Arabidopsis thaliana: one gene and its partner. The protein of the gene in region 1 binds, or shares a complex with, the protein of each later gene. Each region holds a gene or a part of one and is shown in the gene's direction. Other genes may lie near its edges. The genes, in order: ACA8 and CAM7.

What was found.
Region 2: the proteins of ACA8 (region 1) and CAM7 are in contact, whole or in part, in a crystal structure (PDB 4AQR), measured with the Arabidopsis thaliana proteins. Residues at the interface, in NP_001331281.1 of Arabidopsis thaliana: Ser40, Arg43, Leu44, Gln45, Gln46, Trp47, Arg48, Lys49, Ala50, Ala51, Leu52, Val53, Leu54, Asn55, Ala56, Ser57, Arg58, Arg59, Phe60, Arg61, Tyr62, Thr63, Leu64, Lys67; in NP_189967.1 of Arabidopsis thaliana: Glu12, Phe13, Glu15, Ala16, Leu19, Phe20, Leu33, Val36, Met37, Leu40, Gln42, Glu48, Asp51, Met52, Glu55, Val56, Ile64, Phe69, Leu72, Met73, Ala74, Arg75, Met77, Lys78, Asp79, Thr80, Glu85, Glu88, Ala89, Val92.

Annotation. Positions count from the first base shown.
Region 1 is NC_003076.8:23,114,493-23,119,330, reverse strand, and holds the start of ACA8 (autoinhibited Ca2+ -ATPase), read left to right. Parts: upstream 1-1,644; 5' UTR 1,645-1,866; intron 1,867-1,927; exon of another isoform or gene 1,928-2,100; intron 2,101-2,416; 5' UTR 2,417-2,473; coding exon 2,474-2,617; intron 2,618-2,719; coding exon 2,720-2,836; intron 2,837-2,921; coding exon 2,922-2,958; intron 2,959-3,072; coding exon 3,073-3,188; intron 3,189-3,279; coding exon 3,280-3,411; intron 3,412-3,509; coding exon 3,510-3,599; intron 3,600-3,719; coding exon 3,720-3,789; intron 3,790-3,911; coding exon 3,912-3,982; intron 3,983-4,074; coding exon 4,075-4,158; intron 4,159-4,235; coding exon 4,236-4,313; intron 4,314-4,406; coding exon 4,407-4,481; intron 4,482-4,587; coding exon 4,588-4,671; intron 4,672-4,747; coding exon 4,748-4,830; intron 4,831-4,838. UniProt on the Arabidopsis thaliana protein: This magnesium-dependent enzyme catalyzes the hydrolysis of ATP coupled with the translocation of calcium from the cytosol out of the cell.
Region 2 is NC_003074.8:15,662,256-15,668,525, reverse strand, and holds CAM7 (calmodulin 7), read left to right. Parts: upstream 1-2,056; 5' UTR 2,057-2,170; coding exon 2,171-2,246; exon of another isoform or gene 2,247-2,892; intron 2,893-3,045; exon of another isoform or gene 3,046-3,533; coding exon 3,534-3,903; coding exon of another isoform or gene 3,904-3,907; exon of another isoform or gene 3,908-4,394; intron 4,395-5,139; coding exon 5,140-5,338; 3' UTR 5,339-5,526; downstream 5,527-6,270. UniProt on the Arabidopsis thaliana protein: Calmodulin mediates the control of a large number of enzymes, ion channels and other proteins by Ca(2+). Among the enzymes to be stimulated by the calmodulin-Ca(2+) complex are a number of protein kinases and phosphatases. Activates MPK8 in vitro.

The DNA of each region.
Region 1 (4,838 bases):
AAACAAACTTAAAGCCATGTTTGTGGAATCTCTAAACTTCTTACAATCTTAACTTGTAATTGCTTTCCAAAAACTTGAAAAATATAAAACATTAAGAAACAATCAATTTTAGAATTGATTTTCAAGTCTTCTTGACCTCACTTGATAATAAAAAGACTTCGGCAATTAAGACTTATGCTTCCCAAAATTGCATGACGGAGCCTCAATTGAGGTGAATTGAAACAGTCTAAAAGAGCAAGGACCGGTTTAATTTTAAAAGAAACCTAGCTGTCTTAATTTAATTTATTTTTGTAGCATTTTCTCGCCTGTCTAATCCACTTTTTTATTCGACATATTTGTTATATATACCGTACATCTGGACTATACGTATATCTATCACACACCCATATTATTATAGTTTGTAAATTTAATAATAATATCTGACGATTATTCTAATAATTGAGATATTCCGTCACAAATCTTAATTTATTTTGTTACACTTTACAGGTGTTCATACTTAGTGGTGTCGAAAAGCTTTACAGGGACTCATCTACGCGTAATTTAAAAAAGGAGACCCCATTATGATCTTTTCTATATAATTACAACAACCTCTTTAAGTAAAGTAAATTTTATTTTTAGTTGAATTATATTCTTTGTGAATCGTTTATTCGCTTTGCATACGTGGAAATGAACATGATATTGAGTAGGAATCGCTTCTTATTAACGTCTCCCAAATACAAACAATTTTTTCATCATTCAACACGACGTTTTTTGAACGTTCCGTTTCACTTTCCATGTTTCCGCGTTTTTTTGAAACGCAATTTACCTTTTATCGATTCGGCAATTTTTAGTGGATAGAGTTATAAAACAATTAATCAGAATGGTGACTATAAACGAATTATTCGTAATGTTTGTTGTATACTATTGAAGTAGTCGGTGCATAAAGACAAAACGTGCGTTGGTGTTAGTTAATTACTTCTACCAAGGCTCTATTAACAGTATACGATAATGAAAAGTTGAAAACATACTAACTAACATGTATTCACAAGTAAACAATGCCATACTCTAGTAGTCCAAAGTTCAAAATACTCTTTACAGTGTGTAAAAATTCAATATGTGGGCTCGAACTCTGAAATAGTCGAAGATAATTTTGTGGGTTAAGACACCAGAATATGCAATTTTTTTACTTATGTTTTTTTTGTCTATTTGTTAGTAAATGCAAATTTCCAAAATAATTGTAAAAGAAGAGACCATACAAGTAACATGCGAAATAACGTAATAATACATAATACATAATACTTAATGTGACTCCACCACTGTACACGTAAGCCAAACTTTTATTCAATGTTATGATATATTTCAATTTTCATTTTTTTAATATAATTTTTACTTAATTATTAGATGATATGACACATATATTTATAAAATTTCAGTTCCTTAAATGTTATTAAATAATTTAAATAGTACCATGATTTAAATTGGTAAAAAATATGAAGGAAAGCTTTTGCTAACCTTCTTTACTTCTGTTTTTTTTTCTTTTTCTTTTGGTTAGATAGATTCCATTTAACTTAAAATAATAATCCACAGTTTTTTTTTTTTTTTTTTAACACAATAATCCACAGATTTTTTTAATGAGAATAAAACTAAAAAGGAAATTTGATGCCACCAGCATTTAATTAGCGCGTGCCACGTAGTTTAGTTTCCAAACAATTAAAAATTTACCCATAACCGGCCCAAGAACTTTTATTTACTTACCTATTAACCCTAGATCTATATATTTGCTCACTACTGTTTTATCCCAAACTTTAGAGAGATAAAGCATTCTATTAGTTTCCCGGCGAGGACTAGTCACATTTTCCGGCGAACTTACCGGAATTTTCTCTCCAGGTAGAACTTGTTTCTCGTCTCGATTTTCTCTTCAACCGACTACGAAACGAGTTTCGGATTTCGAGAAAAGCTTACGAATAAAAATTTTAATTACTGTTTTGTTTAAATTAAAATTTCGCAGTGTTGGTCGCTTTGTCTCCTGTTGTTCTTATTCTTCGTCTTCTTTAGTCTTACCTAATTTGAATTTTTGTTGACTACTACTGGAGTAAACCGTTTCACAGCGTTTTTCTCGTGGTAGGAGTGACTTCGCGTTCATCGATTTTTTTTTTTTTTTTTCCGATTTTACATGATATTGTTGTGATTTAAGGCTAATGTCAAGGATTTTTGAAGAAATCTGAGAAAATATCTGTGGCTGTTTTGTCGCACTCTGGATTTTTCCCAGAGAGAAGAAGATACTTTGTTTCGAAGAAGATATTTATCTTTTTTTTTTTTCTTACTTTTTTTTTATCCCGGAGAAATTGCTTTTTTCTTGCTTGATATTTCACGTGGTTGTCGAAAGCAGAAGCAACCTTTAAACTGCAAACTTACTTATCTTTTGATTTTTTCTCAGTGGTTTTGAGATTTAGGGATTTGAGTGGTTTTCTTCTTGTCTCTTGCGACTGCAACGATGACGAGTCTCTTGAAGTCATCGCCTGGACGACGCCGTGGAGGCGATGTGGAGTCTGGGAAGAGTGAACACGCAGACTCTGATAGCGACACTTTCTACATCCCATCGAAGAATGCTTCTATTGAGCGGCTTCAACAGTGGAGAGTAAGACCTAGATCCTTCTTAAGTCTGATGTTGTTTCATATTGTGAGATAAGAATGCTTGTTTATCTGTGTTTGAGCTAACAGTGAATTGTGTTTATTACAGAAAGCTGCACTGGTTCTCAATGCGTCCCGGAGATTCCGGTACACCTTGGACTTGAAGAAGGAGCAAGAAACGAGGGAAATGAGACAGAAGATCAGAAGTCATGCTCATGCTCTTTTGGTAACTTTATTTGGAAGCTGGTTAATCATGTCTTTATCATGAGATTGTGTAAATTACTGATTAGCGTCTTCTATTTCTTTATTAGGCGGCGAATCGTTTTATGGATATGGGACGTGAGTCAGGTAATTTTGGCTAACTGTGTACTTTGGTGTTGTGCATTATCTGGTTCTGAATGTGGAGAAGAAAGTCTTTTTGTATAAACTTGTTGATGTGGTCTTTTTTTTTTCTCACTTCAGGAGTTGAAAAAACAACTGGGCCTGCAACTCCGGCTGGTGATTTTGGAATTACTCCTGAACAGCTTGTGATAATGTCAAAGGATCACAACAGTGGTGCCCTGGAGCAATATGGAGGGGTAAGTTTTCAGTCATGAAACATGCTTATGTCTGTTTTCTTATAGTCGTTCTCTAATTATCTTATTGGTATGCGTGTATTTCTTGCATCAGACTCAAGGATTGGCCAATTTGCTCAAGACAAATCCAGAGAAAGGTATCAGTGGCGATGATGATGACTTGCTAAAGCGCAAGACCATTTATGGATCAAACACATATCCTCGCAAGAAAGGGAAAGGGTTTCTGGTATGAAATGCATATTTATTATTAGCTCTATGCTACAAGTTAGGTTTTCCCTGCTCACTTTCTTATCAAGCGTATTGGTTTTTTGTTAATCATTACAGAGGTTTCTTTGGGATGCTTGCCATGATCTCACCTTGATCATTTTAATGGTTGCTGCTGTAGCGTCTTTAGCACTTGGGATAAAAACAGAGGTTTGTGATGAAATCAATTAACTAAATTTGGCTCTTCCCTCTTTCCCCAGAGTAATGTCACCTCCAAATTAACCTTGGTCTTACACAATCTTTACTAACTTGGATAACAATCATCGACAGGGTATCAAAGAAGGATGGTATGATGGAGGAAGCATTGCATTTGCTGTGATTCTTGTGATTGTTGTGACGGGTAATTTAACTTGTTTCACTTTTTTCTTTTTCTTTTTAGGTGTCTACAGACTTGTTTCACTTAATATAATAATTTTGATAATGACTCTTACTGTGATTTTGATGCTTTCTTCTCCTCTGCAGCTGTCAGTGACTACAAACAGTCGCTCCAGTTTCAAAACTTGAATGATGAAAAGAGAAACATACATCTGGAGGTATAAATTTTCCCCAATGATACTTTTCCTCATACTCTCTTTTTCTTATTTCCTTCTTAGTTACACTACTCTTTCTGTTGACTGCTGCACAGGTGTTAAGAGGTGGAAGACGAGTGGAGATTTCGATCTATGACATAGTGGTGGGTGATGTCATTCCTCTCAACATTGGCAATCAGGTGAGTGGTTTATTCTCCTTTTAATTTTGTTTTTGTCCATATTACCTTGTCTAATCGAAGTTTAAATTTATATCTAGGTTCCTGCTGATGGAGTACTGATATCTGGCCACTCTCTCGCCCTTGATGAATCTAGCATGACTGGAGAGAGCAAAATTGTGTGTTTTTGTTTCCTGTCATAGTAAAATTGTTGATTTTCTCGCTTCTTCTTGGTATAACTTTCTATGTGTCAATTTCCCTTTCCTTGTCAGGTTAACAAAGACGCTAACAAGGACCCATTCTTAATGTCTGGCTGTAAAGTGGCAGATGGAAATGGTTCTATGCTGGTAGGACGACTTCCTAGTTTTTCTTGTTCAGCAGAACTGATCTCTTGGGAGATAGTTATTAATCTCTTCCATTTGTGTGATATGTATGTTCTTTTCTTTCTGCAAGGTTACTGGTGTTGGAGTCAACACTGAATGGGGATTGCTGATGGCCAGTATTTCTGAAGACAATGGTGAAGAAACTCCCTTGCAGGTTGATATCTTTGATCATTGTTAAGGAATCTTTAAATGTTTACAAATCAAGCTAATCTTTGACTTGCTTGAACCAGGTGCGCTTAAATGGGGTAGCTACTTTTATTGGTTCAATTGGCTTAGCGGTGGCTGCTGCTGTGCTAGTGATTCTTCTGACTCGGTATGAAT
Region 2 (6,270 bases), on another chromosome or scaffold:
ACTAAAAAACCCTTTATACCTTCAACATACCTATAACGAAGGGAAGTCAATCATAACAAAAAGAACAGAATGATCCATACCAAAAAGAAGCTCTATGATATAATACTAAGAAAAAGCAAACACCTTAACCTCAACGCAATAATCTACCATCAAAACAATAACGGGAACAAACAATAGATCAAAGCTATATATCCGGCAAGTCAAAATTCCTCTGCATTTCTCGCATTTCACACATACCTATTCAAAAAGAGCTACCATCACAAACATAAAAAAAAGTCAGAGAAGCCTCCAACAATAAGAAGTCAGAATACAAAGGGAAACATATAACTGCACTGTTTATTAACAATTGTCTTGTGAATTCGTGTTATACCGTTACTTAATAACAATTATAAACTATAAAATATAATTTTTCTTTAAATAGATACAAGTTGTAAACCTTAATATATACTAACGTTAAAATCGCCTAGACCAACGTTTGGACATCAATATAGAATATCAGGTTACATCAATGTATCAAATTCAATATGAAATATCAAGATACCATAACAATAATACAGAAATATCAAATTCAATATGAAAATCTGATTTTTGCTTTACTATTAGCAGAAAATTCATGATCTGGACATAAGTAGTTAGTAGATTAGCCTAAGTTAGTAAAAATTAAGTTACAAACCTAAAAAACAAATTTGTCACAAAACTAGAATTTTTTTATTTTTTGGAATACGGGTTAAATCTTTAATTTATTATTTTTAGCACCACTTATCAAATCAGTCTGATTAGAAAAGATTATATAAAATCAAAAAATATTTTGTGGTATAGTGCTACTTAATAATAATTGTAAACTATAAAAATAATTGATGACAATTATATAAATTTTTTAAAAATCGTAAAATCAACGCAATTGGCGGGAAATTTTTCTACAAAAATTTTCTACTAAATTACGGAAAAACCGTAAAATCATTCTCAATCGTCTACTAATATTTATTGTCTAACCATTTTCTTTCTTGTGTTATAATTTTGAAATGTGATAAAATAAAGAGAATTTATAATAAATGATTATAGATTTGAAAAGAATGTACAAACTAACCTTGAGTCACAGTAGCTTGTCGGAAACATATTGGAGAACACATGTAATTACATAAATATCCTTTGTAACATGTTTTTTTTCCGAAATACATGCGATAACATAATATCTCTTTTTATCTTGTTATTTTCTCTTATTACATAGTATTTATAAAAAGCACATGGTATTTTATGGAAAAAACATTCTATTCAGTTTAATATCTCTTTTTATCATGATATTTTGTAGTAATACACATTTTTTATTAAGATCACACGTGATTTCTTTAAAAATATATTCTTATTTTTTAGTAATACACGGTTTTATTAAAATCACATATAAATTTTTTTTAAGGATTATGTTCATGTAAGAAAATTTCATAATAATGTTTTTTCTTAAAAATTCATGACGTTTTTTTAAATAGCATGTTTTAAAACTAAATATAACATGTGAAATTTTAATGTTACATGTTATTTTGAAAAATTACACGAATGTGTTTCGTTTACAGTTCATCTTACAACAAATGAAAGGTAGCTTTGTTATTTCATTTCTTCCGACAACATGGGTCCATGGTTATTTTGTAACAAAAAACTTTCTCTCTACTAGTTTCTTAATTTGTATGTTTTATTTGGTTATCTAATATTACCCTAAAATAAACTTAGCAAATAGAAAATGAATTTTATCAAATTGCCTACACCAATGTTTGGATATCAATGTATAATATCAGGTTACATCAATATATATCATACCAAGATACCATAACAATAATACAAAAATATCAAATTCAAAACTATTAGCAGAAAGTTCATGATCTGGACATAAGTAGTTAGTAGATTAGCCTAAAATAGTAAAAACTAAGTTGCAAACCTAAAAAACAAATTTCTCCCAAAACTAGAATTTCTTAATTTTTTGGTCTGAGAAATTAAAAGAGAAAGACGTTTAGGAGGGCAAAATCGTCAATTCAAAAATACCTCATTTTACCTGTAGCTGGTGAGATCTCATTTTATAAAGGAGAAGGAACATTCACTCTCACGCGCTTCAACTTTCTCCAGAAACAAGAAAATATCACAGCAAAAATTTTCTCGAGAAAATCCGAAGAAGACAAAAAAAATGGCGGATCAGCTAACCGATGACCAGATCTCCGAGTTCAAGGAAGCTTTTAGCCTATTCGACAAAGACGGAGATGGTCTCTTCTTCTTCTTCTTCTTCTTCTTCTTCTCTCAGATCTCTTTCTCTTGTCGTTTTTTTTTTAGATTTCTTCGCGGTGATCGTGAATCTCTGCACATTTCGTTTATTGTTTCATGTGATTTGAAGAACGATCTCGTTTTGATTCGTTCAGTCTTGCTCACATCTCCAGAGTGTTTAGGGTTGATTTTTGCTTCTATAGAAGGATCTAGAATATGTAGAATCTCCTTTAGTATATTCGTTGATGATTACTAAGATTTGTAGTTATGGAATCTTGTTTAATTAGGTTATTCATCATATTCTAGATCCTACATTGGAATCGTACATTGGAATCTAGTTGTTTCTCTGTGATTTACTATGATTCTGAACAAATCCTGTGATTATAATCATGCGGATTTGTACGTTCTCACAAAATTTAGTGGCATTGTGGTTTTAAGATTCAATTGTAACATGTAGATTTATCTGCAGATGTTTATACTCAAAATCTAAAAAACGAAATTTGGTTTATTGTGTGATGTTGCCAAATAGAAAAATAGAGAAAGAAGTTGATAATATCATCTCTGTTGTTCTTCTTTACAATAGTTGAGAACTTGCAACGGTGTGCATTTTGTGATGCTTATTGGCAATACCATCATATTTAGAACATTGTGCATTTCCTGGCCTTTGATTAGAAAGAGGCTTTAAATGTTGCTTGGTGGTTTGTGTGCAAAAAGTTTCTTTGTTAACTTGGTAGATGTTTCCCGAACAATCAGTTTTACTTGTCGTATACTATGATTGGGGTTTAAGAGTATTTTACTAAGAGCATTTTTGAGCTTTCTTGTGAGAATAGGTGCATTTCCTGGCCTTTGATTACTAAGAGAATAACATCATATTTAGAACATTGTGCATTTCCTGGCCTTTGATTACTAAGAGAATACCATCATATTTAGAACATTGTGCATTTCCTGGCCTTTGATTAGAAAGAGGCTTTAAATGTTGCTTGGTGGTTTGTGTGCAAGAAGTTTCTTTGTTAACTTGGTAGATGATTTCCGAACAATCAGTTTTACTTGTCGAATCGTCGTCCTTTTAAATGAGATATACTATGATTGGGGTTAGTAGTGTAAGGATATTTTACTAAGAGCATTTTTGAGCTTTCTTGCATTTGAAAACTTGACATATTACTTGTGTTTAAGATAATTGGTTTATATATCTTCCTGATCTTGTTGACAATATTAGTGTTCATAAAGTTATACTCGGAACTCTTGCGTTACAAAATCTGAAGTTGTGTCCAATTTTGGTTTGATTGCAGGTTGTATCACCACAAAGGAGCTTGGGACTGTGATGAGATCACTTGGGCAGAACCCGACAGAAGCCGAGCTCCAGGACATGATCAACGAAGTGGATGCAGACGGGAACGGGACAATAGATTTCCCAGAGTTCCTGAACCTAATGGCACGTAAGATGAAAGACACTGATTCAGAGGAAGAGCTTAAGGAAGCCTTCAGGGTTTTTGACAAGGACCAGAACGGTTTCATCTCGGCGGCTGAGCTTCGTCACGTGATGACAAATCTTGGGGAGAAGTTGACGGATGAGGAAGTCGATGAGATGATCCGAGAGGCTGACGTCGATGGTGATGGTCAGATCAACTATGAAGAGTTCGTCAAAGTCATGATGGCAAAGTGAGATTCTTCTTATCCCTCGAAATCCTAAGCATGTTTTTCTTTTACATCTTTAAAACTGAGAAAAGTAATTTATTGAACCAAAAGAAACAGAGAGATTTGCTTCCTTGTTTGTTTTGTTGATCGTGATTTTTTGGTAACGTTGCTTCTTCTTTGCCTTTTGGTTTTGTTATTGTCCGTGACGTTTGAACTCATAATTTGCTTTAGTCTCTCGAGTCATGACCACTTGATGATGTTATTTTCTCTTTTCTCTAAAATATTGCAGTTTATTGAGATCGACTAATTATATCCATTACGTGGAGAAATAATTGCTTACTAGTTGCAAAAACGTGCACTGTAATTGTTTAAAATTTAGTGTCTTTGCAAGAACAAAGTAGTAGTAAAAGTTCTTGGGATCAAACATTTTCTATTTCAAATACCCACTTAAGGCCCAATGGTATGGTTGATAAGGCTGTTAAGGTTGTGAGGGTTTATTAGCTGATGAAGGCCTATCTTGTGAGTAATAGTACTGTCAAACTACTCCATCTTGTGTGGTTCTCCCCTAGATTATATTTGAAAAAAAACTAATTTATCTACGTATAGACATTTTTCTTACTATAACATTAGCTCTAATTTGAATTTGATATTTGGATTTATAATACACATAAACGTATATAATAGTTTGTTCTATATGTTTTTTATTTAATTTTATTTTATATGTTTATTTAATTATAGATATAAATTTTCCTCAATTGTTTAATTTTTTTCTATATTAAAATTGAATTATATTTTATTTTATGCAAAATCAACTTTTAGTATTTACAAGTTAGTCATTAAAGTTATATTTATAACAATTATTATAATTTCCACTATACTAGTCATAGACTCATAGTTCTAGTATTAGTATCAACTATATACTAATAGAACCATAAATTTGTTTGTTTTTTGTTTTTTTAATAAATCTTATCGACTGATCCGGTCGGCCCGTATAAACTATAAGTTTGTTTTTATAGAGTTTTTCTAATTTAGTTATTGTCAATTTAACATTCAAGCTCATTAAGTTTTCTTTAGTAATATGTAAGACTCTTTTTATGCAATTCAGTTCATATATCTCTCTTCTCTTTTTTTTTTTTTTGTGACGAACTAAGAAACAAAAAAGAATTGACATTTTACAGTTAATTCTATTATCTTCTTCATTTCTAAACCCCAAAGAAAGAAGGAACCAACTACTCGGTTTTTATTGTTTCTTGTTCTCAGTCATGTTTGGGAATGCGCAAGTAAATTGATAAAGAAAAGGAAGAAGAAGAAGAAGAAAAAGAAAAAGAAGAAGACCAAAAATGCTAAAAGGAATGAGAAAGAATTGATCCAGCATAACCCCTCACAGCCCGAGTCACATCGCGTTCCTAGCCGTTTGAATCTCCTCTGCCACCGCTCTCATTCTTGCTCGATTCTATAGCTCACTGTACTTGCTGATCAAGAACTAACTTAAAACAATGAAGACGAAGAATAGTGAAAGCTAATAGTAGATAACTTGCATATATCGAGGGATTGTTTAAAAAACATAATAATAACCTTGTATATAGGCTACGTAATGGCATAAAGAAAAGATTGGTTGGTGGATTACCATGCGAGCCGCTGGTAGAGGACTAACAATTATGTACTTGGATTCAAACCATTTAGTTTAGTCCTAAGAAAAAAAATTAAGTTACCAAGTTTATCTCTAGGAATTTAGAATTTTAACAGTTTTATAGATTTATATTCATCTTGTAAACGATAAACGATAAACAAAACCAGTAGTGTCTCCAACCGCCGAAATGTTAACAATTAAACGATAAACATAGATTTTTTTTTCTATGATCAATTTTAGAAAAATAAAATTTACAAACAAGTATTTTAATTATTAAACTTTGAGAGAATGAAATGTAATAAAGAAAAGAAAAAAAAATTAGAAAATTTTTTTTGACCCACGTCTCCCTCTCAAATGCTCTCTTTCTCTTTATTTAAATCTGTTACACCTCTCTTTCTCTCTCACCAAACAAAAACTTTTTCGAATATTTTAGTAATTATAAATAGTAATTGTACTACTTCTCCAATTAAGTTACGGAAATGTACTGTTTTCTAAACAAACTCAAAGAAAAAGGTTAAAAAAATTAAAGAAACAAAAACTATAACACACTAAACAGTCTTGTAACAACTGAGAGATAAAAGTAGAAAAACAAATGAGTTAAAATCTATCAAAATGTTTAACCATATATAATGTCATGATAATATCTCGTAAGTCACTCGCATGTAATATCAACATCATCTTTACTGTCATGGAAGATTTTATTGCTCAACACTTAGTGACCAAGACTTAATATACTATTGCTGCTACTCCATATTGTAGAT